Coturnix japonica: one gene and its partners. The protein of the gene in region 2 interacts with the protein of the main gene of each other region in a pairwise test. Links are inferred from orthologs where the notes say so. Each region holds a gene or a part of one and is shown on either strand. Other genes may lie near its edges.

Region 1 (8,180 bases), on a different chromosome or scaffold from region 2:
GGCTGCGGGGAACACCGTCTTTCCTCTGGGCTCAGCTACACCCAGCACCCAGCCAGAGGGAAGGACTGCCCCAGCAGAACGGTTACAACAGAATTTATAACTATTTATTCGGAAACGAGAACCTGGGGCCTTTCTGCTTTCAAAACCAGAGAAGCCCGAGACTTCTCAAACGACAACTGAAGGAGGAAGTGCTCTTTTCAACAGAAGTTAAGGCGTTCAGTCAAGCAGCAGCCCCAGCACTTGTGTGTCTGAATATTATGGAGATTCCCTATTCAGCTGCTGCAGGACATTAACCCTCTTTCATATTCTCCTGTTGAAAAAGTCCCTCTTGCACAGAGAGCGTTCAATATTCATGGACCTGGGGGAAGTGTGAAGGAAAGCCTCTGTAGGCCGATGCCTTCCAGTCCTTGCTCCCTAAAGGACTCTGGGTTGCTTTATCAAACCGACAACAAAGGGAACTGCATTTGCATGGCAGGATGTTTTGGCTGGATGTCTTAGGCTTATGGGTCATTATATACTTTCAGGGGGGAAAAAAATAATCATTTCACACTTCAAAGCAGAACCCTCACTAAAAGTCTTTCCAGACTATTACAGGGATATTTTCATTCTTAGTGTAGCAGATTTTCAGTACATAGCAGTATATCTGTATCCTCTTGGCTGCAGCCATCAGCTCCCCTCTGCCCTCCCTCCTCAGCTCTCTGTGATTCCTGCAGCTATGGGAATCTGCAGAGATTCAGACTTTCCTGACAAGAACTGCAGAGATCTTTCACAGAGGCCAATTCACATTCCCCTTTGGGCTTGAGATGCAAATATGGGCTACATTCATTGCAGGTGTATAAGAAACTTCATTTCCACACCTGTGTAAGAGCCCACCAGCAGAAGGTACAGAGGGGTTTATTGCAGTCCTTATAACTGACTATCTTTGTATTGTTAGGGAAATTTCACAGAGAAACAGCAATGAGGCAGATGGCCAAGAGCACATATGGCACCAGTGACACAAACATATGAAAATTATATCCAAAACAAGAGGGAAAGAGGTCCTGTTTCTTTACCAGAACAAACACCTCCCTGAATTTCAGGGGCAGAGCACTGTCGGAGTGAAGGATGGCAGTTGCCATAAGGGTTTTGTGGAGCATAAACAAGCTGTGGGTCATTAAGAGAAGCAGATGGAGCCAAGTGCACCTTAGCAGCCCAGCAATCTGTGACAGCTCCCGGTGAGCTGAGTGCAGCATCTTCCCTTGGGAGCCGCTTGCTGCCTCCCTCTGAGCTTTTTGCCTGTGTTCCTTTACTTCTTATCGCCATCAGAACCAAACTACAGCACAGAAAGGAACACAGGCACTGAGCAGCCAACCAAAAATCTCCCACTACAACTTTAATTAAATATTAGGGCTCTGATTCTTCCCATAAGGTACAACACCTGAAGGGCAATAGCCAACCCTACTGTGAGCTGGGGTACAGACATCACTTCACTCCCTGCCCGCTGCTCATGTTTAGGTTTATCAGAACTCCCAACATAGACATTGCTTCTGCAGGGCTGCAAGTTAGAAAAACTAAATCCAGTGGTAGCATTACACCCCATAAGTGCAGATAGCTTTGCATTGTGTCAGTCACTTTTAGAGCAAGGAGGAGAATGGTGTCACCAATCAGATGCATCAGTGTGGGATAGTTCCCTAGGAGAACGTGCCTCGGGCTTTGGGCAGCCCAGCTTTACGTTCCCTAAAGGACAGGGATCTCACCACCTCCCTTACACCACTCCGCACTCACGCTTAAAATGGTCTTGGGGAATTCTTTTACTGCTGCTCCGGTTTTTCCCATCCAATCTTACGCCAACACTATTGGTTCTCCTGTCTCACTTGGCAGCCCGACTGCGATAGTGCAGTTGCAGTAGAAGCATGAGGCATGTCCTGCCTTTGAGGCTCTTTGGGGATCACTTCTAACGAGCTTTTTGTAAGAGCTCTTTATTGAAACAATGACCGTGTGCCTACAGAAACTAAAAGCAAACAGACCCTTGGTTAAACCGCTCCAAGTGACCAGGAGCCCAGCGCCCGAAGGCAGAGCGGTGTCCCTGCTGCAGCCGTGGCAGTGCGGCAGCGCCCGTCCGCAATGGGCGCAGCTCCGCCGGCATCAATGAGGGCGGGCCCCCGGGAGCCGCTGAGCCCTGAGCACGGGACGGGAGGCTGCGGGTGCCGTCGGAAGCAGCTAACCCCAAACCTATCGACGGTTCGTGTTTCTGTCTGCCCGCTTTGGATGTCTGGGAGCCCTTAGTGAATAGCGAGCATCGCTCCCCCGATCCCGGAGACTTTCAGCAAGATACGGAGAAAGGGACGGGGCTCGCACAAAGTTGCACAGACGCATTTTTAAGCGCTCGGCCCGTGCTGGGAGCGCTGTCGGAGCACCGCAGCCCGTCCTGCCCTCGGAATCACTGCGCTGTCGGAGGGGCGTAGGGCCCCAAGGAACCTCGGCAACCGCCCCGTGTCCCGCCGCCTTTGTCCCCGAGCTGTAACCACGGACCCCTTCCCCCCCAGCCCCTCCCCGCTCGGACGCGGCCATTGGAGACGGACGGGGCGGGGCGGGGCGGCGGCGCCCCATAAGAGGGGCCCCGAGTTGGGGCCACCGCCCTTCTTCGCCCGCCGCGCTCCGAGCCCCGCTCCGCTCCCGGATTACAAAGCCGCTCCGTTCCTTGCCGCCATGAGCTTCACCAGCAGCAAGAACTCCTCGTACCGCCGCATGTTCGGCGGGGGCAGCCGGCCCAGCAGCGGCACCCGTTACATCACGTCCACCACCCGCTATTCCCTGGGCAGCGCCCTCCGGCCCAGCAGCGCCCGCTACGTGTCCGCCTCGCCCGGCGGCGTGTACGCCACCAAGGCGACGTCGGTGCGGCTGCGGAGCAGCATGCCGCCCATGAGGATGCACGACGCCGTGGATTTCACCCTGGCCGACGCCATCAACTCGGAGTTCAGGGAGACCCGAACCAACGAGAAGGTGGAGCTGCAGGAGCTCAACGACCGCTTCGCCAGCTACATCGAGAAGGTGCGTTTCCTGGAGCAGCAGAACAAGATCCTGCTGGCCGAGCTGGAGCAGCTCAAGGGCAAAGGCACGTCCCGTCTGGGCGACCTGTACGAGGAGGAGATGCGGGAGCTGCGGCGGCAGGTGGACCAGCTGACCAACGACAAGGCCCGAGTCGAGGTGGAGCGCGACAACCTGGCCGACGACATCATGCGCCTGCGGGAGAAGTGAGTGCGGGGCCGGGGCTGGGCGCGGGGCGGGCACCCACCCTCACATCCCTCACCTCCCTCCCTCACGTCGGCCGTGTGTCGCTGCTTGCAGGTTGCAGGAGGAGATGCTGCAGCGGGAGGAGGCCGAGAGCACCCTGCAGTCCTTCCGACAGGTGGGCGCGGCCGCCGCGGGGCGCTGGGGGCGGAGGGTCGGGGCTGGGGCTGGGGGCTGGCGATGCGGGCTGGCTCTGCCCGCACAAAAGGCGCTCGGCGCAGCCCCTTGGTCTCCCCGTTGTTTTCTTTAGGGGGGTGCCGCAGTCCGGAGGGGAGGGTGAGGCTATTGTCCCACTTTATCCCGGTCTGGCCGGCTCCACAAAAGCGCTCCGACGTGGAATCGCTTTCTGATCCAATAGTTGTGAAAAGGCGCAGCCATCTGCGCGCCGGGCTGAAGGGTATTAATGGTTTCTATGGGATTCACCGAGGAATGCAGATCCAGGCATTATGGCCGGTGTGGTGGCAGCAGATTGAAATAATGGATCCCTTTGTGTTGGAGGGGAGGCTGCCGTGGGCTGCATTCCTACCGAATGTGTAATGGTGGGGGCACGTTCCTGGGGGAGACTCTGTAAAATACTGAACTCGGTTCTGGATGAGCCGCATCACTTTGCACACTCAGGAAACTGTCCCAGATTTGAAGTATTTCCTATCAGTGGTGTCTGCTGATCAGAAGCAGACAATGGGTTCCTCGGGATGAGCTCACAGCAGCTGTCTGTATCCCCTTGATGTGCATTAAGAATGTAGAATTCAATCCCTTATAAGCAAAGATGTTAATGTAAGATACAGTGCACCGGAGTTTGGTCTGTAGGAAGCTGCGGTGTCACACAGCTGAACCAAAGCCGATGTGACAGCCAGAACCAACTGTGAAGCCTGCGGAAAGTTCTGAGCTTAAGTTTTGATTTGTGCAAAACCAGCTCTTGGCGTGGATTGAGGGCTGGTTGGACGAGCAGAACTTTAGGAATGTGCCTTCTCAAAACAACAGAACTTCCTGAAAACTGCTGGGGTGAAAAAACACTGCTATCACTCCTCTGAGCTGGAAGCAGCTGCCCTGTATCTCCAGACAGCTGGGCGCAGGCTGACCATCTTAGAGCTCTGCATAGGCAATAGTAGGTGTCACCATGTAGGAAGCTGTCATTTGGTTTTTAGCATTTCCCTGGTGGTCTTAGTGGGGCAGTGTGGGAGCAGACACATGGCAGGGGCTGGGAATGAGGTGTCCACTGACATTGTGGGGGCTGAAGCTTGAAATAGCAGTTCCAGGTATTGCCTTTAACCCAGGCTGCTGTGTTACTAGGGCTGAGCCCATCCAAGTAGTTGCCAAGTCAGTGCAGATGCATTTCCCCTTTTTGTTTCAAATTACTAGAGTTCAAGCACAAGCTCCTTTGACTTAAAGCTAGTTCAATCATGCGTGCTTCTCTGGTGCACTTCAAGGCACGTCTTCCTCTCCCTCCAAGCAACACAGCTTTGTAAAGGCTGCGGGCTATTATGTGAGCTGTGCTGTGCGTGCCTCACATTCATTGTCTGCTTCCCTGCCCTGTCACTCAGCCTCCAGCTGCTCTGCCCATGCACTGAGCCCATGTAACCACTCAGCTTTACATGTAAAAACTGCAGATCATTGTCTGAGTTGATCAGTGGCACAAATAGTGCATGCTGCTGGGTTTGGTTTGAACAAAAGTATACCCAGTTTTTCCCTGCCACAACAGAGTAGTTCTAACGTGCAGATTTAGAAGAGAAAGTACGCTTGAGAGTTACTGAATTTTTTCCTCTAAACAAGAGATGCCACATTACTTTCCACGTATACTGCGGGGTGTTCTACATCAAATAAGCCTAGGGATTTGGTGACTGCTTTGTGCAACAAAAGAGGCATCATAATTAATGAGGAAGTTATGTACCGCAGCTTTGTCAGATGCTCTGACAGCAGGGAACAGATCTGAGCCCATGACAAGGCACACAGGTCAGCTCCTGGCTAACAAGGGCTTTCCTGAAATAAATGAGGATGTTCAGCCATTAAAGACTCTCTTCAGATAAAATCAATATGTAGTCAGTCCAATTACTCATATGTGTGACTGAAACCTTGTTTGCTCAGGCTATTAATACCTTTTTCATCTACATGGCTCTAAAGTGTGCAGAGTAAATGCACTTAGCGGAAATACAGTGAAATGCACATTACGTACTGAACAAGCCTCCAGTTTAAGATGCTTTCTGCATATTAGAGGTTGCTATAACTTCTGTAGCTCTTTGAATCTGGGAAAAAAATAATCCCTTTTAGTATTGAGGCTTGTGCAAAATCCACTGGCAAGTGTTTGGATTTCTCAGTAGTCATGTAAACATGTTAGGTCATAGTTGTGTAATTTCCTTCTAGAATGGTCTTGGAGTTTGGGAGGAGAACAAATGCGTTAAGGAATTCATTTTTTTTTCTGAACTGGAAAACAGAGCCAAGATGAACTGTGGTGTGCAACTGGAGTTGATAAGAAACTTTCGTAACACATCAAAGGGGCTTTCTGCTGCATATTGAATGCTGGAGAATTCTTCTGGTGCAAAAAACTTAATCCCGGGATAGGAGTAAACCAAAGGATGGCGTCCTGATAGTCTAAAGAAAACTTTTCCTGTTTCAGAGGTGTTGTAATAGTGAGTGCTGCTGATGAGTAATGTTTATGTTCTGGACAAAATACAGACTGGCTGTAATGCAAGTTGTGAAAACAGGATGCTTATATTAATACCATAGGAACAAAACTGGGCAGCCAATGTGAAAGGATGTCTTCCCTTTATAAAGTGCTTTACTCGTGTCTTTAAAATGTAAGAAGTTACTGATCCATGGTTAATTTTCAGTTATTTTTTGAACAAATTAACACTGTTTCCATGTAACATTCGTGGCATATCATCTCTTGTGCCTTAAATGAATTTTTGCTGTTGATTAAGACTATCTCTGTCCAGCAAAGGGTGGAGTATTTGCCAGCTAATGCGAGGGTGTAGGCAGCAGTGACTGACTCCATTTGTGTTTATGCTCATACCTTTTCCTCCAGGGACATCTGTCAAACTGCTTGGGGTAGTCTGTGGTCCTTACACACACATCCCTACATTTAACAGAGTGCCTTCAAGTTGTGATCTGCGGAGCCAAGGGACTCTGGTGTGTCACTGAGGAGTCCATAGGAGATGAACAAAATGTTCATCCACCATGATGTGTGTCAGCAGTAACATAGCAAAGATGACATCTTCATATGCTGCATAGTCCACAAAGTTGTGATAAAGCAGCATATAGTGATCTCTGAGGCTGGGGCTGGAAGGAGCAAAAATAAGATTACTAATTGTTCTCTTCTCTCTGATCAGGATGTTGACAATGCTTCTCTGGCGCGCCTTGATCTTGAGCGCAAAGTTGAGTCCCTGCAAGAAGAAATTGTCTTCTTGAAGAAGCTTCATGATGAGGTAAGCTGAATAATGAGGTCTGTGTCTGGGCACTGTCAGTCAAGTGAACAACTAAACTCTCTGGCTCTGGCCCCGAGTCCTAACCTATGCATTTTCTGTATAGTGTTGTTTATTAACACTGTCTCCTTCTCTCTAAGGAAATCCGGGAACTGCAGGCTCAACTCCAGGAACAGCACATCCAAATCGATATGGATGTTTCTAAGCCTGATCTTACTGCTGCCCTGCGTGATGTTCGTCAACAATATGAAAGTGTTGCTGCTAAGAATCTTCAGGAAGCTGAAGAGTGGTACAAGTCCAAAGTAAGTAAAATGTGTTGTAGGATTATACAGATGTAGCGGGCATTCAAATGAATTTTAGGTAACAGTTTTGCTGTAGCACTCAGTGTTCCTTCTGTACTGAATGCTAGCACAGCCGCAGAGTAGGGTAGTCTTTAAACTTATTGATCTGGGAAGAATACAGTTGGAAAAATTACTTGTGCCCTAAGTGCAGCATCAAACTAATGGGCTCGTTTCCTGTTCTTCCCTATTCTTGGAGCTGGAGGCAGTTCTTAAGTATATACTTAGGAAAGGAATGAATAAATGCATGAAAGGATCTGAAACATAACAATCAGGAATAGAGAAGTTCAGTGTAATGTTCACGTTTAAATATTTCATGTGCTAGAACATCCCTGTAATGGCTTCAGTTGCTTCCAAATCCTGGGTCTAGAAGTAGCCTGTTACACCATTTTAATGAGGAGTTATGCTAACCAAACTGGGTGTTTCTACAGTTTGCAGATCTCTCCGAAGCTGCTAATAGGAACAATGATGCCCTGCGCCAGGCCAAACAAGAAGCTAATGAATACCGCAGACAGATTCAGTCTCTCACCTGTGAAGTTGATGCCCTTAAAGGAAGTGTAAGTAGATGATGTTCTTCCTGATGCAGCTTTTTAAGCACTGTGCTGTAGTTCAGTGGATGGACGTGGCTGCAGCTGATCTCCCGTACAAGGCAGCAGTGTACCCATCCTTCCTGAAAAAGACTCATTGGGCTCCATTTGTCTGCATGTACTGTGTAGTGCACTGCTCAGATTGCTGTACTGAGCTGGTCTTTCTCAAGGTGTAAACATTACAGAATGAGCTATACGAAGCCTAAGGGAGCAGTGGAAAAGTGCAGATCTTGTACTTTCTTGAATCTAGTTGCCTGAAAGGCTGGCTTGAAATGGAGGTAACTGTTTAGTACACCGGTAGACTCCCTCACTAAGTACTATCTGCGTGCTGACTTGTACTGTATGTGTTTGACTTACTGTGGGGGTTTGCTTTGCTGTCTGGTAGCATAATGTTAAACGTGTCTCATCAGACACCTCACTCACAAGGCTTCACAAGGGGAGGATAAGGAGATGATAAAAGGGGGGCATGTTTGAGCCTTTTCAGAAAGGATACTGTTGTTCAACTTCCCTTCATGCTTTTTCTTATTTAAGTAATGAAGGGCCTTGCCATTAGGAGTGGCTGAACTGTA
Region 2 (7,558 bases):
GGGATTTTGCTGAGTAAAACAGAACCTGAATGCAAAGAAATCAAAACCAAGAGAAAAAACGATACTCTGTTAATGGACAATCTGGCCTTTGAGAACCACGAGGAACTTGAAGACAGCCTCAGCATCAAAACTTCCAAGAAAAATGCCAAGAGTTATATTGGTGATCTCAATGTAGTAAGTAAAGTATTAGCATGTTTCATTTAAAAGGGTGAAAAAAATACCCTAGCTTTGGCCTCCTAGAGTTAACCTGATTTTATTCTCCCAGCAAGGTGCTGTCTCTACTTCCTTCCCAGTTTGCAGTTGATGTGTGTCTTCTCACTGTTTAAATGTGTTTATGCACTGTTTTAATGTGTGTTATGCATGCACCTTACCTCAGTTCATAACCACTCTTATATCTTTCCCTATACTGCTTTCTTCTGCTGTGACTATTAAATGCAAATCACCACAATTTTCAAAATAATTCTGGAGGTGCTATTTAAAAGGCTTATTTTAAAAAAACTATTCTTATATTTTCAAAGGCTCTTAAAGAACTTGCCAGAGTTAGTGAAGAATTATGCAGCTATCAAGAGGAAATTCGGAAGAAGTCCAACCACAGAAGGTAAAGGCATATTTGGATTTTTTATCTTAGAGGAAGAAACCAGGTTAAAGTCTGTGTTCCTGTTTACTTTGAAGGGAGGTTTGCCTCCTTTTTTGCCCTTTTTGCTCACCGCTGAAATCTCTTTCTCTTTGTGTCCAGAATGAAATCAGTTCCTTTCTTGGGGAAGTTTGAAGAAACCCAAAACACAGTTATTCTGCCTGAGATGAACAATCTGTCCAACAATGAATCGCAGTCTTCAGTTGCACTTGAAAAAGAAGAGCATAATAATAGGAAGAATCTGATGAGCTCCACCAAGGTTTTGAAGGATATGTCTTACAGTAGTCTTACTGGCAACGGAGGAGAAGTTTTCAGACCTTGTCAACAGAAAGAAGCTCCACCAGTTCCTCCACGAAGTACTTCTCGGCACTTAACAAGCTCGCTTTCCACAGTTGTGCAGCTTCCTGAAGCACCAATGAGAGATCCAGGCATCAAAAGCAATTGCAAGTTTCAGGACTCTAGGAGTGGAAGGAAACTGACAAATCCTTCATCTGTAAAACAAAATGAAACTAAAATGGCCTGTGCAAATGAGAAGCAGACTGGGAAAGGTCCTGTAATAGTAACTGCTGCAATACCTGTAACCAAAAATGAGTGCGTTGCACCAAGTTTCTGCCACAACACATGGGCATATGATGTTGGAAAAGACAGTAAAAATGAGCCTTCCCCACTGTCAGCCCAGAAGAGTTGTTCAGATGGAAATATGGCCCATAGTAACAGAATGCACCAGAAACAAAGTTCCAAGTCTCACTTCAGTCCTTATTACTGCAATGACTTTTATGCCGCTGCTGCCCTGCACATTGATCTTTTGGGAGACTCCAGTTGTGCTTTGGGAAAGGCTCAGAGAAATGAAACTTTAGCAGCGAAGATTGATGAGTTTAACCGGACTGTATTTCACACAGATAAACGTAACACTACTTTGCAAGAAAACCAGGTGACTCGGACAGCATTAGAAGATCACAAACCCTGCAGCCCACCGTGTGACTCTGCTATTAGCAGGACAGAAACTGTAGATTCATCTTGTGTTTCAAATCCCAAACTTTCTGCAGCAAAAGAACAAGAAACTAGCAACCCTAGCAAAGTTGTCAGAACAGGAGGGCAACAAAAGCAAATAAATGGACTTCCAAATACCAGTGGTTACAGGCACATGCTTCATGAGCATGACTGGAGACCGAGTAATCTATCCGGTCGCCCGCGTTCGGCTGACTCAAGATCAAACTATGGTGTTGTTGAAAAGCTTTTGAAAAACTATGAAAAATCTGCAGTGATTTCTCCATGTAATGCAAAATACTGCAAAGATAAGTGGACACGGGCAAACTCTGAATCCACTGATGGAGGTTGTGAGACACGGAATCAGTATTTAGAAATGCTTCCGTCTGAGCAAGGAAAGCAAGAATTTCTGAGGAATTCAGGCAGGCATATTGGGCAGCAACTGAAGCAAGGAAGGGAGAGACAGAAGTTACCAGAGGTAAGGTTCAGAAGAATGGCAAGAACAAAATAATTCAGTTTTATACTTGGCTTCAGATTTTAAAGTGAGGCAGACAATCATGATAATATAAAAAAAAAAAAACATAAAAATTGATAACTTAGGCCAGGATCTAGGTGAATTAGAATGATTTCCTTTAAAGATAACAGAGTTGTGAGAGGGCAGAAATCTGTAAGTAGGCATGACTAGCAAAGTTATGTGCCAGAGTGTAGCCTTTGCTCCTGCTACATAAAACTAGATGTTAACGGTAGTTTGGGGTTTGAACTAGTGAAAATTACAATCAGATATTCCCTCCCTTATTCCTTTAGCTGGATACTTGTTTCATAAGCCTTCTCAAATGACTTAAGACCACTCTGCCGTATCAAAATCCTCAAGGGCTGAGGCAGCATTCTTCAGAGTCCTGGTTGCTTCTTGGTTCAGGATTTCCTTGGTACTACCCATGAAAATGGGTTCTGTATTTTTCTTAGAGCTTCCAGGAATGACGTGACATCCATTTACTCACATCTCCAGGCTTGTCCTATCAGTTCAAGCATAGGCTCACAAGCGTAGAAGAGTATGGCATAACTAATTAATTTATATTTGGCTGAACTGTATTTGCAAAAGTTTAGAAGTACTGCCTCTGCCAACATTCTTTCTTAATGAAAATAGAAACAGATGTTTGTTTGTTTTTTAAGTATACTGTAAGCTACAGATTTTGTAAAAGGCCTCAGAGAAGGAAAAATCTGTTTTCCTGAAGAGCTCCTTGCCCTAAGGACACAAATGAGTGTGTCCTTCACTGTCTCAGAAATGAGAAGGCAAGTGTTTAGAGCTGAGGAACTTAGATGGATTCAGATTGTCATCTGGTGTGCCTTACACTGTCACACATTCACAGACTTCAGTGGAGGTATGTGGATTTAAACAGCTGAGAATCTGAGCATGTAGATTTTCTTCTGCATGATTTTATGTCAGCCTTGCAGTGATGCAACCTCTTGCTTAGCAGAAACATCTTCGTTACAGCACAGAGGAAAACACATGAAGCCTTTGATTTCTTTCTCATCCAGTGTAAGTTTGATAAGAAAATGGAATTTCATCAATAAATATGTAAGGAGGAAATAATGAGGAGAGAATGACTGAATTTGCATTGATGCAAGCCCAGAATAACTTTACTAAGACAGCTGGATTATTTTCTCCATAGATTCACATTCTGTGTTGTTATTTATGTTGTATAAATTAAGTGCAGAATACTGCCTGGTTAGGGGGTTTCATTCAGCAGCTTTCATGTCACAAAGATGTGAAAAACTACACCTGGCATGAAACATGGAGGTTTATCTTCATTATTTCAGATTTATAGTACTGTAGCTAAGATCAAGGTCTGTTGTTTTTCCTGTACATATAAGGCTCAGCATGCAGGCACGGCACCGCATTAATAAATAATCATTCTGAATTATTTACCAACTGTAAACAGCTTTGTGCTGTGCTAACAGAAAGAGAGCTCTTAGCAAAATGTGTCTTCTGAAATGGAAGCTATCAAAAATTACCTAGAAAGTACATAGATCATACTCTAAGGTGCTGAGAGCTCATTCACAAGACTTCCAAAAATGAAGGGAAATGAAAAATGAGTGTTCAGTTTTAACTTGCATTAACATTTTGTCCCTTTCCTTGTGTCTGACACTTGTCTCTGCATATTTTAAACTGCAACTGAAGTGAGAATCCCTATACATAGAAATGCCTGTTCTTTTGCATTCTGCACATTACTTTGTTCCTTTTAATAGCATCAGACCACCTGCTCTGTGGCCACCCTGAATGTCTTCCTAGATTCCCAGTGCATTCTCTGAAGGACTTTTCTCCTGTAACTCATTAAATCAAGGATGATTGCTTTTGTGTTCTAGATATCTGTGCCAGCTAAATGTTCAAATGGGAAGGGTTTCTCACGGCCAGCCCGACCAGCAAATAGACGCCTGCCTTCCAGATGGGCATCCAGATCACCATCAGCACCTCCAGCTGTGAGAAGGACAGCATACAACTGCTCTGTTTCCTTTCGGTCAGAGACCTCAGTAGTTTGAACCCAGAAACGGGTCGGATGGTGTTGTGAAAGCTCTGCACCTCATTTTAACTCTGTTCAGTATGTGTGGTAGCAACCAGATCTACACCGTCCTATCTTGTTCAAGAACGACTCCATCACATGCTGGACGAAATGGTTTGAATCTTAGGTCATCATCATGGTCTTCAGTGTTTTTATTGAGAGGAAACAATGATACCCCTGGTTTTCTCCTTTTCTTTCTTTCTTTTGTTTTTTGGTACTAGCTCACAGAGAATTTATTTTGAGTGGCATCTGTCTTAATTTGCCAATCAATTTTGAGTTGAAACAATGTATAGTGCTGTATATTCTGACTCTTCTGCAAACAGCAGAACATAAAGCTGTATGCATGATCATGTGTTTGTAGGTGCATGTGTTGGACTAGGAAGTATACAGGTCTGTATTTAGAAGAGACAAACTGTGCTAGCGTTGACATTGAAATTACAACAATATGCCAACATATATATATATATTTACTTTGTGTTTATTTTAAAAATTTTGAAATATACAGTCCTGATGACATTTATATTTTGTATATCTTTTACATAGGTTCACAGGTGTAGTATTTAATGTACAAAATCTAAATATGCATTTTTGTGACTCTAATTGCAGCGATTATGCCTTGCACAATATGTATCTGAAGCAGACTAGCTCGACTGATTTGTCAGTCATGCTTCATGGCATCCTTGTTCAGTTTCCTAATCCTTATAATACTAGGTCAAAATACCTAAACATATTTTTTCTGAATTAAAATATTATATGATTTGTAGTACATTAGCCTTTTTCAACACCAGAAACATTCCTGAAATGTTCTGATCTCTTTAAAAGTCTTTAAGCGTGCCATTATATATATAGCATACTGTAAACAGTTCAGCACTTCCAACCAGTGTAACATACAATTTATGAAGGGAAAAAAAGGGTTGAATGTGCTCAATTCTGTAAAACTTATTTTTCCTTCTAGCATTATATTTTGAGGTTTGGCAAAGTCAGAGAACAATGGACTTGTTTACTTTCACTCAAGGCAGGAGAACAAGGACTGTTGATCCCAGTGCTACAGACGCATGCCTTTTTTACTCTCCTCCTAGACTAGAGTGCCTGAGCCGCTTGCTAGCAGCATGCTGCTCCTTGACTGACTTCTGACAGTCAGTAATGAAGTTTACTTGCATTCTAGCAACACCTGCATCTAGTATGGAAGTACTGTATAGAGATCTCATCACAGTAGTGCCAGAAATCCTCGACAAGTGGTATCGGAAGTGTTATTGCCATCGCCTGACTCAGTATTTTGGGCCATCACAATGATGTATACAGAGCCTGGCTTGTTCCTCCCCACAGTGTGAAAGAAGTACGGATACTGACCAGACTCTTGCTGAAAAGATGAAGTCCTACATCCTGGAATTTTCTGCACCCTCTCCTAGGCTGTTGCTGGATGCGCAGGGTAGTAATGATGATAAATGGTACCTTTAAACAGCATGTCTAGGTTAAAAGGAGTAAAGAGGCCCTTCTTCAACATTAGCCTAATCTTGTCTTGCAAGTTTTTTTCTTCTTCTGGAGAAACAGTGTGTTCAAAGGAGTTTCAAAAATCATCCCAAGCTCCATTAACATGTGCGTCTTCATATGTGAATGTAAAAAGGAATTCAGAGAGAGTGTAGGCTTTTGTCCTAGTGAATTGTATGTTTGGCAATATATGGAAAATTAGTTGTGCTTAATTTGTTAGTGATATGTTGTCTTATCCCAGTCATGCTGAGAACCCTCACCTTTTTTCTTCTTTTTAGGGCCTATTCTTCTTTACGCAACTACTTTTTTGCAGAGTAAAAACGCAGCCAGCCATATGTTCCGAGCAATGTACCCACTATTGTAGGATCAATAACTCTTCAGGCATGCCAGTGTTGGATTGAGCAGGCAGTAGTGTCATACATCCAAAATTACATGAAGAATCATGGCTGCCTGCATGGCAAAAACATGCTCAGACTAATTTGGCCCGTCTTAACTTTCTGGCACTTTATGTGTGTTAGTATATATATATGAAGACTTCAAACAGATCAACAATTAATGAAAAACAGTTCAGATTTTATTACAAAGTTATTACTAGAAAAGACAGAAGACATTGAAGAAAATTCATACAATTTGGACAGAGATAAAAAAAAACAATGTTTGAGTGAAAAATGAAGAGTAATATCAATTTGTCTCTTTGCCCTAATTTAGAAATTTCACTCCATTAAAGTCCTTAGAACTAGAAAGATTACAGATGATTTACAGTGAATTTGAAACATTATTTAAGATTCTTCTAACTATGAAAACTAGCATACCAAAATACCTTAAATTGACCATTTAAATGCCTAAGTAGTCAGGCAACTTTAAATGTGTGTAGCTGACAAAATGGTGATATGAGAGAATGGTAAAATTATGGTCCTTAATTTCAGTCAATACTGACTGCAGTCAAGCTTATTTCAATTACCTTCATGGTAATGTTATGCATCTTTGTTTTGAAAAATGGTGGTACAGTTTTGTTTCAAGAACATAACAGTACAGAACAGTTTCCCTCAGTTAGTCAATGGATGTGTTTCTTTTGCACACTTAACTTTCTTTGATCGCTTTTAACATAATCACATTGTTGAATAACAGAGAAAGGATCAAATACCTACAACATTCCCTTATGTATGTAAGTTTAATGAACGGAAGATTTTTGAAATAAACTAATAGGTCAAGGACAACTTCATTTTGTCAACTTTTTCTGTGTCCACCTAATTACAGACATAGGTTCTGATGCCTGAAAGTATCAAAACTGGTGGTTTTTGTCTGTAGGTGGTTTGCTGGATATACTGATTTTAGAAACTTGCCACTGTGGCTGTTTAAATATTCTCTTCAGCCATACCCATGACAGGGCCTACGTACTGTGGCAAGTTTTTATTTTGCTCCCAGAGCAGTGATTACTAAACCATAGCACTGTCTTTATTGCATGTGTTTGCTGTAGGAAGAAGGTCCCCCATATGATCTCTTAGAAACTCTCAGGCAAGGGAGGATCTATGTCTTCACACAGGCACACTCAAAAAAGAACTATTGATGTAAGCATTGACCTTCCTTTAATACTGGTGTCACCTATGGAAGCTGATAGTTTTCCAAGTTATTTTTTAAAATAATATTTTGTTATTTTTCCATATGCCATTTGTATGCCATCTACCTGGGTAAGTGGCGGAGTCACTGGCCCTGGAGGTGTTCAAGAGATATGTGAATGTGGCACTGAAATACATGGTTAGTGGGCATGGTGGTGATTGGCTGATGATTGGACTAGATGACCTTTTCTAACTTTAATAACACTTATGATTTTATGGTAAAGTCTTAATGCAGATAGAGGTTGTTCTTACCTGTGCTCTGAACGAGTATAGAC
Region 3 (6,935 bases), on a different chromosome or scaffold from region 2:
GCTTGGGCTGAAGCTGTCCAGCTCTATGTGTTGTCAGCAATGTGGTTTTACTTTGGGGAGAAGGGCAGACCCCAGCTCTGAGCCCAACCCAAAGGGAAACCACATCCAGGTGACAGCACCAAAATTAACCTGCAAAGTCTTTTCTTTTCCAAGGAAAAGTCATTCTTGTCCTTGCAAGGATGACAGCAAGAGGGGTTTGTTTCCATGGACACAAATTCTTTTGCATGGGTGTGATATGAGTGGGATGGGGAGCAAAGTCTGTATGCCCCTTCCCCAAGACCCATGGAAACACACCAACGCTGTCCCCATGTCCCTTGGGAGGACGTGTGTCAGTCCTTGGCACACTGACCACCTTGACTGCAGTACAGGGATTAGCAGTGGCAAAGTGATCTCTTTATAAGAAGGATAAACACTCCAGGGTCAGGGCTGAGGTATGTCAGCAGGGGATTAGCCCCAAGCCCCCCCAGCTGGGTTAATGAGCTGCATGGCAAAACGTGGGCAGGGATAATTTGGCAGAGAAACGCTGCATTGCAACGCTGGCAGCCTCTTGTGTTTGTTGCCTTTGGCTCCAAAGCCAAGTGCTCAGCTCACTGTGGATGCTCTTCTCCCCCCCGCAGGGTGTTGGTATGGCCAGCTCCCGGCCTCCCAAGTACCTCCTGGTCTTTGATTTTGATGAGACCATCATCAATGAGAACAGTGATGACTCCATCGTGCGGGCAGCACCAGGGCAGGCATTGCCTGAGCACATCCGACAGAGCTTCCGTGAAGGCTTCTACAATGAGTACATGCAACGTGTCCTGGCCTACATGGGGGACCAGGGCGTCAAGATGGGGGACTTCAAGGCCGTCTATGAGAACATTCCCCTGTCTCCAGGCATGTCTGACCTCTTCCAGTTCCTCTCCAAGAACCACGAGCTCTTTGAGATCATCCTCATCTCCGACGCCAACATGTTTGGTATTGAAAGCAAACTGAGGGCGGCCGGTTTTTACTCCCTCTTCCGTAAAATCTTCAGCAACCCATCCAGCTTTGACAAGAGGGGTTACTTCACCTTGGGGCCCTACCACAGCCACAAGTGCCTTGACTGCCCAGCCAATATGTGCAAGCGCAAAATCCTAACGGAGTACCTGGCCGAGAGGGCGCAGGAAGAGGTGGAGTTCGAGAGGGTATTTTATGTTGGGGATGGTGCCAATGACTTCTGCCCTTCAGTGACTTTGACTTCAGCTGACGTTGCTTTCCCCCGGAAGGGTTACCCCATGCACCAGATGACCCAGGAGATGGAGAAGAAGCAGCCTGGAACCTTCCAAGCCACCGTTGTTCCCTGGGAGTCAGCTACTGAGGTCGCCCGCTATCTGCAGGAGCTCCTCAAGAAGAAGTGCTGAGGATGGATGGCTCCAAAGAGGCTTGTTTATGATAAGCAGCTGGGAAGGGAGAAGGCTGGGAGGTCACGTCCTGCACCCCATGTTTATTTGGCACTGCTCACTTGGACTTTGATTCCTGGACTGCTTTCCTGCCTTCTAAGCTCTCTCCCCAGTGATTGAAGCACTTTCTCTCCCCCCACATCCCTTTCTCTTCCCTCTGCCACACTGAGATGAAGTCCTCTCTATGCAGCTTAGATGGCTTCTCTGCTGTTGGTGGTTGGCAACACTAATGGTATGGGTTGTTTTTTTCCTTTATGACTTCTCAAGAGCAGTTCTTTAATATCCAGAAGCCAGTTCTCCTGCAGGCTGAGCCCTGCACGTGCTTCCTCTTGACCCAATTCACCTGCCCATCTCCACTCTCCATGCAGGAGCTGCATGCTGTTGCCTTCAACCCAATGCTCCAAGGGCTCCTTGCCTCTCCAGGAAGCCACAAGAAATTCAATCTGGGCAGTTTATGTTGCCCAGGTTCCCCAGCTCACCATGCACCCCATTCCTTGCTCAGCAGATGAGCCTCACAAAGGAGTTTATCATCCCTTCAGACTTTATTTTCTGAACAAAAACAACAACAAAAAAGTCATGAGAAATCAAGGAAACCTTTTGGAAGGTTGGTACACCTTGAAGTAATACAAAGCAACATCCTTTAGCTCCCATTGCCCTCACCCCATTTTATTTTGGGGGGGAGGCTGAATGGCCACATCCTGCTTGAGGAAGAAGACCTGATTTCACCTTCCTTTTCCTCCCCCATTGCTTCCCCTCTTGGGGCAGCAGCCCCCCAATTCATCCCCAGTGCAGACTGTTCATATCTTTGCTGGGTTGCATTGACTGCCCTGTGACTGCCTGCCCTGGTTCAGAGGTGCTGAAATTCCACCCCCCCCCCCAGCTGCAGATAGAGGTACTATAGCACTTCTGGTATCAGCTCCCCAGAGGCCAAACCCTCTCACCCCACCACAGTGTTAACTGCCCATTCTAATTGCACTCTATAGAGGGGGGCTTGCAGTATTTTGCTCTCTGGTGTTGGCTCTTCCTGGATTTATCCACAGCCTTAAATGACCCCTGAGAGTGGCTTGTAACTACTCCAAAGCATAGGAACCCTGGTAACAAATCAGAGCAGTAAGGAAATAACCAAAGTAGCCCTGAGATGATCCTCCTTTATTTCATTTTTTTCCTTCGTTCTTCCTCTTCTGGACACTGTTTAACTGTGTGGAACTTAAAGCCATGGAATTAAATATATATATATACATATATATGTATATAGATATATATATATTACAGATACACAAGTTATTTGTATCCAGAACATAAACCTGAAAGTGAGATGGCTCTGAAGTGCACACACGTGGTGTTTCTTTTCCTCAGGCTGCAGGAGGAGGAAGGCAGCCTTGGGAGCTGACCAGGGGAGCAGCAGAGTGGGATTGGGTTATGAGCAGTGCTCTGCAGGTTGGGCCTGACCTACAGGAGCCCCTTTGGTACAGGACTTAGACCTGGCTCACCCTCCTCTCAAGCAGCTGGGAGCAGTTCCTTGCCCCAGAGCTGCTCTCCTCTTCGTGCTTATGATTTCTGAGCTTTGGTCCTACTCTGCTGTCAATCCTAGGGGTCTAAGAGCAGCACCAGGGCCAGCCCAAGGGATTTCAGAGCTTGCTTCCCACCCCCCCATTTCCAACAGCTTGAGGGCCAGGGAGTTGCCTCAGTGCTAAACCTTCACAGCATCATCATCATCATCATCAATTGCTGGTGTCATTAAAAAAAATGACAAAGGGTGGGATGAGGTGCAGGGAGCAGGCAGGGGGATGTGTGGGGTGCAGGCAGCAGCATGTGGCATGGGGTCATGTCATGGCTGCAGCAAAAAGGGGCTGAGCTGTGCAAAGCCAGAAGTCAAAGGCAAAGTGGAGCCCTCACCTCCTGGACACAGCTGAGCTGGGTGGGCGATGAGGGGTCGGGGAGCTGCTGGTGCTCAGAAGGGCTCTACATAATTGCCAGGGAAGAAACCTGCTTCCTCGCCCATGATGCCTTCACACCATCCATCAGAGTACCTCCGTGTGACATAGATGAGGGCACCAGGCTCGAAGGAGAGCTCATTGTCCTTCTGTCGTGTGTACGGGTAGATGGTCAGCACTGTGCAAAGAAGGGGAGAGACGCCATGGAGAAGAGTGGGGACAGCTGAGATGGGCAGGAGGGAAGGGCTGAGCCTCTGCACTGCCCTGTAGTGGGGCAGTCACATCCTCAGTGCTGTGACCACATCCAGGGCCAAAGAATCTGGTGGATCTCAGCAGATCTGACCCTGGAGCTGCTGTACCTTTATCCAAGTAGCTCTCAGGGACACATGAGGGTTCCTCTGCAGCTGGTGGTGGTGGTGGTGGGGTGAAATCCTCAAAGTTGGGCAGTGGTGGTGGTGGTGGCAGCGGTGACTCTGGGTCATTGGAGACTGTAGAACAAATTCAGTGAGAGTCAAGCGGCTCCATACAGAGCAGAGCACAGCATTTGTGTTTGAAATGAGCACCCCCCAGACACCGCAGCACTCACCTGGAAGGCTGAAGTCTGGTGGGGGCACATCCAGGTCCCCTGGTGGTGGTGGTGGTGGGAGCAGATCCCCAGGGAGAGGTGGAGGGGGTGGGATGGTGGCTGCAGCTGGGGTGGGTGGTGGTCCCGGGAGGGGTGGGAGTGGGGGTGGTGCTGGGATGCCTTCCCCAGGGGCTCCTCCACTTGAGCTGGGGATTCAGAGTCAGGTAAAAGGGGTGTATGTGTGTGTGGGGAGGCATGTCTCAGCCCTCCCATCTTTGAACATGGGTGTCTGCTCTATGCTAGAACAGGGTGACACCCAGTGCTGTCACCACGGGCAGGCACCCCAGCATCTGTGTGCAAAGCCATTTCCCCATCCTGTGCCTTAGTTTCCCCCTTGGGAACCATCTCTGTTATTTTGCTCTAGATACACACAGTGAATTTCCTGCTCTCCAATACAATATTGCTTATCAAAACCTCTCTGCAAATAGATGCAGTGGGGTAACCACAGCTGCCCTATTCCCACTGATCCCCCTCTCCCTGGTTATTCCAGACACCCCCCTGGCCCAGGCTGGTACCTGATTGATGTCAGTGAGGAAGCAGATGAAGCTGCAGAGAGCTTTCCCTCGGGAACCACGGGGGGCTGGATGGGCTCAGGGACACGAGTGCTCCTCCTGCCAACAGAGCAGGCACTGAGCCCATGCTGACAGGACACAGAGGGCAGCTGCATTGGGCAGTGCACCCCATGGCTCTGTCCCTGCTCAGTGACACCCAAGCTAAAGATTCCCTACTCTACACCATCCCAGAAGCCTCACCCCATGGTGCCTGCAGACTGTGTGGTTATCTTCATCCCTTTCCGAGACAGTGTGCCTGTCCTGGACAGCTGAGTGCTGTGATCCTGCAGGCAGAAGAAAACACATACACATGACAAGTTCATTGCACTCCATGCCTACCATGCCCTTATAGTGCCCCAAAGGCCTTTGCTGAACCCTTCTCAAAAGGATGGGGGGTGGTGAGGGGCTGCCCCAGCTAATAGAAGTAGATATTGGTGCTGATAGAAGCAGATATTGGTGCTGCTGTCTGGCATTGCCACCGTGGGAACTGCAGCCCCAGCACTGTCACTTCCCCTTCGACTCCACAGCGGTTTCACACTGTGCACGTGGCTCTGATGCTGCTGAAAACCCACAGACGCCTTCCGGTGAGGGGGCAGCTTACAGGGGCAGTTTCAGTGCTGGAACAGCACTGTGGGTGTAATGCAACTCAGCCTTAGCCAAGCAACTCTGGGACTGTGTGCCTTTATGGCATTGTCAGTGTCCCATTCCCCTCCTGCACCAAGATGAGCCCCACTGGGACAAGTCCTGGAGGAAGCATAGACAGACCCCCTTTCTCCATCCAGGAGGGGTTTGTACCCCCACCAGATCACATAAAGCCCATCTAAACCCCCATCTACCCACGGGACACCCTCCAGGCTGACCTTTATGCCGTGACCGATGTCATCCAGGATGCTGAAGTTGAGGGGTTTCCTGTAGTAGGGCTCTAGGGAGGGTGGGTTGGGGGGGGATGTGATCTTCTGGTGGGATGGGAACCTCTTACTGACGGTCAAAGCGCCGATCTCCCGACGAGATACTTTCTCCTTGTGCATGTCAACGCTCTGTGGAGGCAGCAGGAAAGGCTCTAAGGAGCCCTCAAATATCAGGAAGAAAGTGAGTGGCTGCAGGGCTCTGAGTCATTGTCCCTAGTTCTCCAAGGGGACGAGGCCAGTGTCCACCGAGGGGAGATAACAGCATCTGAGCCTATGTGACTGCTGCAGGGTAGCTCCTTGGGGGCTTCCCCAGAGGCTGCCATGGTCCCCAAACACCCAGACTAAGACAAGCCCTTAAGAACAGTTTCCCACCCCTCGGTAGTCTTGTCCTTTAGCTTCTTGGGTGACCAAGGTGCTGCAGGGGCTGACAGGCCATTAAAACCACAAGAAAAGTTGGTCTCCAGTCCCTGTAAGCTGCTCCTTTCTCAGGGCTGAAACCCCACAGCAGTACAGACCCATGGCAGTGGCTGAGGTCAGACCCACCTGGGCTACACAGCTGACATTGGCCTCCAGCTTTTGCAGCTCGGCTGCCTGCAGGTCCAGCAGCTGCAGGAAGGTGGTGGCCAGGCTGCTGACCTGATAAGCCACACTGGCCAAGGACTGTGTGCTGAAAGCCATCGTCTCCTCCAGAGCCTTCCTCTTGTCGCTTGCCTGGAGGGTGAAACACAGCTGTGATGAGCTGGGATGGCTGAGAGCACAAAGTGCCGCCGCCGTCATACCCAAACCAGGGTCACAAGGGAGCAAAGGGGCTTCCTTCTGCTTTCCAAATGCATCACAGTTCCTCCAGCTCAGGCAGTGGGACTCAGCGATGCTCAGCACCATCAGGGTGCAGTGGGAGAAGCACAGAGGGGATCAGGAGGGTCTGTGCTGTTGGGACTGTTCCAGTCCCGCTGCCAGCAGCTGGGGAAGCAGTCTCAGTTCTCTGAGCTGTTTTGCATGCTTCCCCTTCAGAGATGCAGCTGGGGGGCTGTGAACCGACCAGAAGCTTCAGCATGAGAAAACAACCCAGCCCTGGATGATGCTTAACTGAGGCAGCAGCAATGCCCGGCCATGGGACAGAGTGCAGATTCACAGCCCCAGATGGGGTGAGGGAACAACCATCACCACTCCCTTGGGTCTGCCATGGGGGAATGAGGCTACCAAGGTGGGATCCTTAAAGCACCCAAGAGACCCCCGGTCAGGGCACTGTTCCCAGCCAATGGGGCCAAACCAACCCTTTGCCATCCCCTCAGCAGGTCACAGGGACAGGGGGGAGTAGGACAGCACAGAGCCCATTGCCCACCCTATGCTGGGAAGGAGTGAGCACTGTCAGCACCTCCCAGACCCTGAGCTGCCATCCCTGCTCCCCTCCAGCACCAAAAAACCCCAGAAGACCCCCCCCACAATGTCCCACACATAACCCTGATGGCTGAGCAGAGGGGAAACTGAGGCACGAGAGA
Region 4 (8,300 bases), on a different chromosome or scaffold from region 2:
GCAGCTCTGATCCCTGTCTTTTCTGGTCTCATGTAATGGTTGCTGTCCTTGCTCAGTCTGTAGCTTTCCCTCCTCACCCCCAGTGCCACAACATGAGCCCAGCAGTGAGGCTGAGGGCTCTGCAGACTCTTTTCCAAGGACAGGCTGAGCTTTGCCATTGCACATTTCCCTTGGAACCGCTCTAGTGCTTTTAGGATGGGATTTGCAGTAGCTCCGTCCCTCTGGGTTGGATGTGAGCGTGGTTTGGTGATACCTGCTGGGAAATGGCAGCGTTTGGGGTGATGCTGAGGGCTGGGGATGTATGTGAACACTGCAGACGGTGCTGACTGTGCGTGTTGCTTCTCCTTTAGCATCACCCTCAGTGCTCAGCACTGAGTCCACCATCCCCATGACGAGAGCTGCCCTGCGCCGCCTGCAGCAGCTCACTTCACTCCCCAGCCCTAAAGTGGCGGTGAAGAAGAGGAGGAGATCTGAGATGAGCAGCACTTCCAGCCTGGAAACACCACGCAGCCTCAACACGCGGGCGAAGCGCCAGCGGAAATCCTCCCCACTGAGCAACGGGGATGAAGCGGAGGCGCCGTGGAGCCCACACACCCCGTGTGTTAAACAGCCCCAATCCACACAGCTGCTGCCGAGCTGCACCCCCAAAATCTGCCCTCTGACCGTCACCAAAGGGCGTGCGCCCCTCAGGACATCAGCAGCCCAGAACTGCTGCACCCCGACTGTGTGCGACCTCAATGTGACCTACAGCCTCTCTGAGGACGTCTCCAAGCCGGGAGCCCTCAGCCTGCCCAGCTGGGAGAGCGCCCCATGTGCCCTAAAGAAGCAGGAGGGCCCCTTTGTGCCCAGGTTGGTGCTGTACCACTCGGACACAAACAGCATCCTTAAGAACCTGCTCCTCCTTTCCCCTTTGGGTTCAGTGCTTTACCCTCTGACCCTTCTTCCTCCCTGCAGAACCTCCATCCCGGTGTTCTCCATGAAGGGTTCCTCCATCCCGAAGCCGTCCTCCATCTCCAAAGGGTCTGTGCGGAAGCGGAGGGGAGCAGTGAGGTGAGATGGCAGCCATTTGCTGCTGTGGATGCTTCCCTGTGGGGCTGGGACCCCCTTTTTGCCTGCTGGCAGCCTGGGGTTTATATGACCATCCCCACATGTCCCCTTTTCCTTCACAGCACTGCTTCCCATTCACTGGGTGGGGTCCAGAGCTGCATCAGCTCGAGCAGCAGCTGGCGGTCTGTGCAGCCCCAGAGTATCCCAGGTGAGTCCTACAGGAGTTCCACCCATCCCTGATGCAGTTACACCAGGGGCTAAATACCCGGTGTTGGTGTGTCTGGGGCTGTTGGGATGTGCTTGTTGGGTTTGCTGCTTCCTTCCTATGGCCACATCCTTGGGAAGGGGTGTTGGGGGTCTGGGCATGGCTGTAAGGCTGGGGCTGGCAGTGGGTTTGTAGGTTTTGCCTTTTCATCCCCTTCCTCCCTTTCTCTCCTGTTTCAGAGCATCCCCCTCCTGGGCTCACCTGGAAGGGTCGGAGCGGCCCCAGAGATGGTGCCCCCAGAGCCCCCACCTCACAAGCAATGAAGCTGCTGTGCTGATGTCCCTCACATCCAGGACCCCTCACGTGGCCCCACATGCAGCTGCCAGGGAGGTAGAAGGGCGACCACCCCAAACACTGCCCTGCTGTTCCCTGGCTGGTTTCCCTGCTCCCTCCTGCCCTCCTCCCTCTGCACAGCCCCATGTATTTTGTAGCAGATGGATCACTGCTGTTCCCTCTCAGCCCCTCTCGGGGTGTCGAGTGCTGACAGATGGGCAATGCTAAGCAATACCACGCGCTTTTAATAAATCTTACAGCTTAAACCCAAAGGAGTGAGGGAAGATGTGGGGCTGCTTCTCCCCCCTCAGCCTCAGAGCGGTGCTGGGCTCCCAGGGGTGGTTTTCTATTGTCCCTTTGGGGCTTCAGAGCATTTCTCCCTCTACTGTGGGGTCCTTGGGGCCACCAGCAGAGGTGATGACTTTGCACCGAGGCCCCAAAAGCTGCATGGCTGCCTTTGCCCCACAGCCCCTGGTATGTTCTGGCCCCGTTGTCCCATGCAGCGCTCCCCATAGGGGCTGGGGTCACTGCTCTCTGCCCTACTTTGCTCTCCCCTCTGTCTTCTCTCAGGCTGGAAGCTTCTAATTAAAGCTTCTACATTCGTTTGCCTCATTAAGGCGGGGGGGGGGGCTGGCTCTGTGTCCCCGCAGTGACAGCATCTCTGCTTTGATCCCATTGCGTGGGAGCGGGGAGAAAATAAATCCTGGGAGACCACAGTGGGGGCACCCTCTGCCCCATCCCTCCACGTGGATTTGGGGAAGGGAGGGGGGTCCCAAAGGGCTCCCAGTGCAGCAGCAGAGCTGTCCCTGCCCCACTTGGGCTCTCAGCACATAGGGGTTGTGGTTTTGCAGCTCTAGAACCAAACCTGGGGCTGGGGGTGCTGAAGGACGATGCCTGATGCAGGGCTGTGAATGCGGAGGGGGGGGTGTTAAGGGGCTCCCAGTGTTCCTCCCCATTGCTCTGGGCTGGGGCCCGGCCCTTGTTCCCATGCTAGTTGGGTTTTCTCAGCTGTTGGCTGCCATCTAGCTGTCACCTATGGGCTCTGTCCCCCACCCACAGCCACTGAGCTGATCCTGGTCCATCCCCGGGCTGTCCCCATGCCCGTACCCCATTGAGCCCAGCAATGTCCCTGTGCCCGTTGCCCCCACCCTCACCCCGTGCCCATTTCCCGGCGCTGCACAAAGGGATCTCATTGCTGTGCTGGGCACACTGAGACCTTTGAGACAGCTCTGGCACCACTGGGCTGGAATGGGCTCAGGACGTTTCAGCTAATTAAAGCTGGCCTTAATTAGCAGCCTTCCTGCTCTGCCAGGTTCACCCCATAGTGCCCCATGGCATCGCACCCAGGACCTACAGTGCCCCACACACCCACGCTGCCCCATGGGCACTGTGTCCCCGCTCTGCCCCAGCTTTTACCCCCTGCTCTCTGGGCACTGCCAGCACTATTTAGCACACAGGGCTGGCTGCCAGCCCTCAGCCCCCCCCTCCCCCCCGCTGGGTGCCACAAAGCCCAGCTTTGTGCTGCGTGGCCTCCAGCCAATGCCATGGCCATAAAACCCCACCACGGCTCACATCGCACCCACCTTCACCATGGAGAGCCGCTGGTCATCCTACGGCCGCCGCTCCAGCCCCACTGTCTCATCATGGAGCCCCACAGCGCGGCCCCGTCCCCGCAGCGCTCACCCCACACCCCACACATCGAGCAGGATGGATTTCTCTATGGCCAACCTCCTCAACTCGGAGTTCAGGGAGACCCGAACCAACGAGAAGGTGGAGATGATGGAGCTGAACGACCGCTTCGCCAGCTACATTGAGAAGGTCCGGCTGCTGGAGCAGCGCAATAAGGTGCTGGTGCTGGAGCTGAACCGGGTGCGGGAGCAGGAGCCGACCCGTCTGGCTGACGTGTACCAGGAGGAGCTGCGGGAGCTGCGGCGCCGCGTGGAGCTGCTGGGCACCGCCAAGGCCCGCGCCGAGGTGCAGAGGGACGGCCTGGCTGAGGAGCTGGGGAGCCTGCGGGACAAGTATGGGGGGGTCCTGCAATGGGGGATTGGGGGGTGGGGATTGAGGTGGCCAACAGGACAAGGATGGGGACCAGTTTGGTGGTGGGGAACAGAGCGGTGATGAGGATTGAGGAGGTGGTGGGGATTAAGGCAGACACTGTAACCAGGGGGGATAACGATGGGGACTGGGGTGGCCAATGGGACCAGGATGGGGACCTGCGTGGTGATGGGTGATGGGATGAGCAGCAGGGCCGGAGTGGAAACAGGGAGCAGGGTGGCCACAAGGATCATGGTGGATGACAGGGACTGGATCAAGGTTGAGAATGGGGACCAAGGTGTTAATGGGGATTTAGGTGGTACTGGGGATCAGAGTGGCCACCACAACCAGGATGAGGACCAGGATGGTGATGAGGACCGGTGTGCCCACCATGACAATAGTGATCCCAGGGACAAAGTTGTCTACTGGAACAAGTATTGGGGAGCCCAGCAGCACTAACAAGGTCATCAGGACCAGGATAATAACTAGGGTAGTGATGGGGACCAAAGCAGCCAGCAGAACTAAGAAATGGCTACTGGGATGGTATAAGTGCAGTGGGGTTGCACTAGGGGGGTCTGTCTATGGGGCTGAGCTGCACGTGGCCACCATGAGTAATGAGGCACTGTGCCTAACGAGTAATGGCACCTAATAAGTAATGCGTCACTGCTCTGTTGAAGGCTGCAGCAGGAGGTCACCCTGCGGCTGGAGGCTGAGAGCACCCTGGCTGCATACCGGCAGGTGAGGGTAGGGGATGGGATGGGGAGTGGGGGCCAGTCCTCCTCTCCTGGGCTCTGTGGACAGGGCTGGAATGGGATGGGATGGGATGGAGGGATGGGCAGGGATGGGGGCACAGACCCCCATGCCCACCCTGGGTACGATCCCTCCATGTCACCTGGTGGCAGGATGTTGATGCTGCTGCCCTGGCTCGCCTCGACCTGGAGCGTCGCGTGGGGACCCTGCAGGACGAGGTGGCCTTCCTGCAGAAGGTGCACGAGGAGGTAACGCTGCTGTGATGTGGGGCTCTGGGGGTGGATCCCATGGCTGTGCTGACCCCGCTTCCCTGCAGGAGCTGCGGGAGCTGCAGGAGCAGCTGGCCCAGCACCGGGTGCACGTGGAGGTGGACGCCAGCAAGCCAGACCTGACGGCAGCGCTGCGTGACATCCGCACTCAGTACGAGTCCATCACCGTCACTAACCTGCAGGAGGCCGAGGAGTGGTACAAATCCAAGGTGCGGGTGGCACCTTGTCCCCATATATCACCCCCATGGGTTGGGCTGGCTGCTCCTGTGGCTGGGTGGCTCTATGGGGCAGTGGCACTGGAGAGCTGACCCTACGGTGCGTCCCTTCCAGTTTGCAGACCTGACGGATGCAGCTGCCCGCCATGCAGAGGCCCTGCGTGCGGCCAAGCATGAGGCCAACGAGTACCGGCGGCAGCTCCAGGCCCTCACCTGTGACCTGGAGGCTCTGCGGGGCTCGGTAGGTGCCACCCATGGGGCATGAGGTGGGACGCATCCTTGGGTCGTGCCACCATGGGTGGGTGCCCATGGAGGGAGGTGGCATCGAGGGCATCACATCCCACAATGGTCACCAGAACGAGTCCCTGGAGCGGCAGCTGCGGGAGCTGGAGGAGCGCTACGCGCTGGAGACGTCCGCCTACCAGGACACAGTGGGGCGGCTGGAGGAGGACATCCGCGGCCTGAAGGAGGAGATGGCCCGGCAGCTGCGGGAGTACCAGGAGCTGATGAACGTCAAGCTGGCCCTGGACATTGAGATTGCGACCTACAGGAAGCTGCTGGAGGGCGAGGAGAGCAGGTGATGGACCCCCCTGTCCTGAACTATCTCGGGGCCTTTTTGGTGCTGCTGGGTCTGGTGAGCACCCTGCAGCCCTCCTGCTCACACATGGGGACCCAGTGCTCTCCCCAACGTTCCCATTGCTCCCGCAGGATCACCGTCCCTGTGCAGAGCTTCTCCAACCTGCAGATCCGAGGTGAGGCTGCGGCTGTGTGGGATGGGGGCAGGGGGGGCTGCCAGGTCTCTGTGCCTGAAGGGTCCCCCACAGTCCCAAGATATAGAGGGGATGAGCACGATGCCATGGCCACGTCCCCAGTGCCGACCATTCCCCAAGGGTCAACCCTGTTGCTGAGGCCAATGATGTCTCTAAGGCCAACCTCAACAATGAGGGTAATTGTGTTCTGAGTGCCAACTGTGCGCCCATCACCAGCTGTGTCCCCAGTACTGCCCTCATACTCAGTGTTGACCACAGCTCAGTGCCCACCATTCCCCCAAGCACGATGCTGTCCCTAAGGCCAACCACATCTCAAAGCAACCCATGTCACCAAGGCCAACACCACTGATGAAGCCAATCATATCCCCAGTGCCAACTGTGTCCCCAAGACCAGCCACATTCTGAAGCCAGACACATCCTCAGTGCCACCTTCATACCTAAGGTCACAACCCAGTCTCCAGCCACAAGGTCCCCAACCACAACCCAGTGCCAGCATTCCTCCTGAGGCCTATAGCGTTCACTCCCACAGATCAGGATTTTCCAGCCCAACTAGTTCCTTTTGGGACCCTTCAAGGTGTATGGGGTGGAGGGGTCATATATGGGGCACTGGGTCACCAACCTGTCCCATCCATGTCTCCTAGAAACAAGCCTGGACACCAAATCTGTGTCAGAAGCTCATTTGAAGAGAAGCATTGTGGTCAAAACAGTGGAGACAAGAGATGGAGAGGTGGGAAGTCTTCAACTGCGCCTTCCACACCCTTTCCCCTCCATCCTCAAGGTGTCCCCAAGGGGGGATGTTTGTCATGTGCACGGGCTCTGTCCCCAGACATGTTTAGATGGACTTGATGGGGTGACAGTCCCTCTCCTTCTGCTTCCAGGTGATCAAGGAGTCCAAGCAGGAGCACAAGGAGGTGGTGTAGAGTGTGTGATTCATAGCCACGCTTGTAGCTGTAGCTCCATAGATCCCACCCGATGCTGCGATGGAGCCCTGTGGTGGGGCCACAGCCACAGGAGAAACCCACCCTCACCTCTCCCACCACCCCATGCCCCAGGGACTCCTGTGCTGGTCTGGCCAGGGCTGAGATCTGGGGGCATTGCTCCACACTTCCCACCTTGCTGGTGCAGGAGACCACCTTGAGCATCCCAACCATGTCCTGAGCATCCCTGGGAGGGCTGGGGGGAACACAGCACCGCATGGTCAGGGATGTTTTCCTGTTGCCAAGCAGCAGTTGGGCTTAGCCAAGGCAGGAGGAAGAGGAGGATGGAGCATATGGGGAGGCAGGTCGATGTTGGGATGGGGAGAAGGGTGATGGTGTGGGGTCTGAGCAGGGTGCCTGGGGGTACAGAGTGGTTGTGGGGCTGGAGCAGCAATGGGCACAGCAGGGTGGGAGTCTTTGTTGGCTTTTCCAGGGCACGGTGCCATGGGACTGTTCTGACCCTAATGGTGTGTCCCCCACCACGGTGCTCCTATCTCCAGAGATGCAGAGACAGTCAGGGGGCTCATGGCCCGAGCCCAGCTCTGCACAGGCATTCTCGAGGGGCTGGAAGAAATCTTGTCCCTCAGCTCCACGTGGCCCTGTCTCCTGTGCTCTCTCCCAGTGCATGTCACCCACCTGGGGCCCCTGCAGACCCAATACTCACTTTGTTTTAGCCACTGACCATGAGCTAAACGTGCCCTGCTGCCACCTAATGCAGCAGCACCCACTCACCAGCAATCCCCTTGCCCTATAACGTGAGCCCATAGGTTGCTACATGGGTACTGCCTCCTCACCCTGCTTATCTCCACATCCTCTAGCTCAGCACAGAGCTTTGCAGCTCCTAATTCCACAGGGACTGTTCCCAGGGCAGGATGTGTTATAGAGTGATAGTGCTGCGGGTCACTTTGTCCCCCATGAGCTGGATGGAGCTTTGCAGCCCTTATTGCTACTGGATTAATGCCCTAATGTTGCAACAACACGAGATGCGAAATAAAGCCTAACACAAGTGCTATGTCTGTGGTTGTGACTGTAACCTGCAGGACAAGCTGCAGGGCGGTGTGTTTTTGGGATCAGCCGGGGCAGAGCTGATCAGAGCATACCCCCAGCTGGAAGGGGGACGTGGATCAGAGCCCAGCTCCTGGCTCTGCACAGCTCCACCCAAACCTGTACCCAAACCCTATGTCTCAGAGTGGTGTCCCAATGCTCCTTGAGCTCCAGCCCACCACGTTGTGGTGCAGAAAGAAAATAAAAATGCATAAACTCAGCTTCTTAAAAATGAGATTGCTCCAGCTGAGGATCTTGCACAAACATTGAGTGTCTTGAAATGTTGGTGCCCTTTGGGGCACAGTTGGCACCAGGAATAGGAGGGTCCTTGTCACTGCTGTTGGCCTTAGTGGGCAGCTTTGGGCTGCAGTTGGCCTTGAGGAACACATTTGGCACTGGGGATATGACTGGCACTTTTTAAAAGGTAAGGGAAGCCAGAATTAATTGGAGTAGAACAGTCTGGAGGATTACAGTGGCCTCTTAGAAAAACAGCCCTAATAAATCACCGACATGGCAGAAGAACTCCATGGTGTTTAGCCAGAAAACACTGCAACGACTCCAGCTATTCATTCAAACAGGATTACTGAGGTTAAAACCCCACCACAAGCCTTCAGTGTGGCCAGGAAGTGACACAGTGGTGGCAAATCCCTGCC

Evidence for each region.
Region 1: the proteins of KIAA0408 (region 2) and VIM interact in binary tests that used the Homo sapiens proteins (3 or more experiments, as listed by UniProt). The link is inferred for Coturnix japonica from reciprocal best matches to the Homo sapiens genes KIAA0408 and VIM.
Region 3: the proteins of KIAA0408 (region 2) and ABI3 interact in binary tests that used the Homo sapiens proteins (3 or more experiments, as listed by UniProt). The two-hybrid records come from large-scale screens. The link is inferred for Coturnix japonica from reciprocal best matches to the Homo sapiens genes KIAA0408 and ABI3.
Region 4: the proteins of KIAA0408 (region 2) and GFAP interact in binary tests that used the Homo sapiens proteins (3 or more experiments, as listed by UniProt). The link is inferred for Coturnix japonica from reciprocal best matches to the Homo sapiens genes KIAA0408 and GFAP.

Annotation. Positions count from the first base shown.
Region 1 is NC_029517.1:18,027,875-18,036,054, reverse strand, and holds the start of VIM (vimentin), read left to right. Parts: upstream 1-2,606; 5' UTR 2,607-2,688; coding exon 2,689-3,233; intron 3,234-3,289; exon of another isoform or gene 3,290-3,310; intron 3,311-3,327; coding exon 3,328-3,388; intron 3,389-6,593; coding exon 6,594-6,689; intron 6,690-6,826; coding exon 6,827-6,988; intron 6,989-7,455; coding exon 7,456-7,581; intron 7,582-8,180. UniProt on the Homo sapiens protein: Vimentins are class-III intermediate filaments found in various non-epithelial cells, especially mesenchymal cells. Vimentin is attached to the nucleus, endoplasmic reticulum, and mitochondria, either laterally or terminally.
Region 2 is NC_029518.1:53,662,224-53,669,781, forward strand, and holds part of KIAA0408 (uncharacterized protein KIAA0408 homolog), read left to right. Parts: coding exon 1-174; intron 175-518; coding exon 519-598; intron 599-736; coding exon 737-2,099; intron 2,100-3,985; coding exon 3,986-4,159; 3' UTR 4,160-7,558.
Region 3 is NC_029542.1:2,999,492-3,006,426, forward strand, and holds the end of ABI3 (ABI gene family member 3), read right to left. Parts: intron 6,148-6,935; coding exon 5,980-6,147; intron 5,566-5,979; coding exon 5,389-5,565; intron 4,813-5,388; coding exon 4,730-4,812; intron 4,589-4,729; coding exon 4,493-4,588; intron 4,124-4,492; coding exon 3,939-4,123; intron 3,841-3,938; coding exon 3,712-3,840; intron 3,531-3,711; coding exon 3,370-3,530; 3' UTR 1,942-3,369; downstream 1-1,941. Other genes in the region: PHOSPHO1 (phosphoethanolamine/phosphocholine phosphatase), read left to right, coding at 618-1,379. UniProt on the Homo sapiens protein: May inhibit tumor metastasis. In vitro, reduces cell motility.
Region 4 is NC_029542.1:785,414-793,713, reverse strand, and holds GFAP (glial fibrillary acidic protein), read left to right. Parts: upstream 1-3,143; 5' UTR 3,144-3,175; coding exon 3,176-3,606; intron 3,607-4,299; coding exon 4,300-4,360; intron 4,361-4,524; coding exon 4,525-4,620; intron 4,621-4,688; coding exon 4,689-4,850; intron 4,851-4,971; coding exon 4,972-5,097; intron 5,098-5,212; coding exon 5,213-5,433; intron 5,434-5,564; coding exon 5,565-5,608; intron 5,609-6,267; coding exon 6,268-6,353; intron 6,354-6,504; coding exon 6,505-6,546; 3' UTR 6,547-7,615; downstream 7,616-8,300. Other genes in the region: kinesin-like protein KIF18B, read left to right, coding at 351-849, 955-1,050, 1,170-1,255, 1,492-1,589.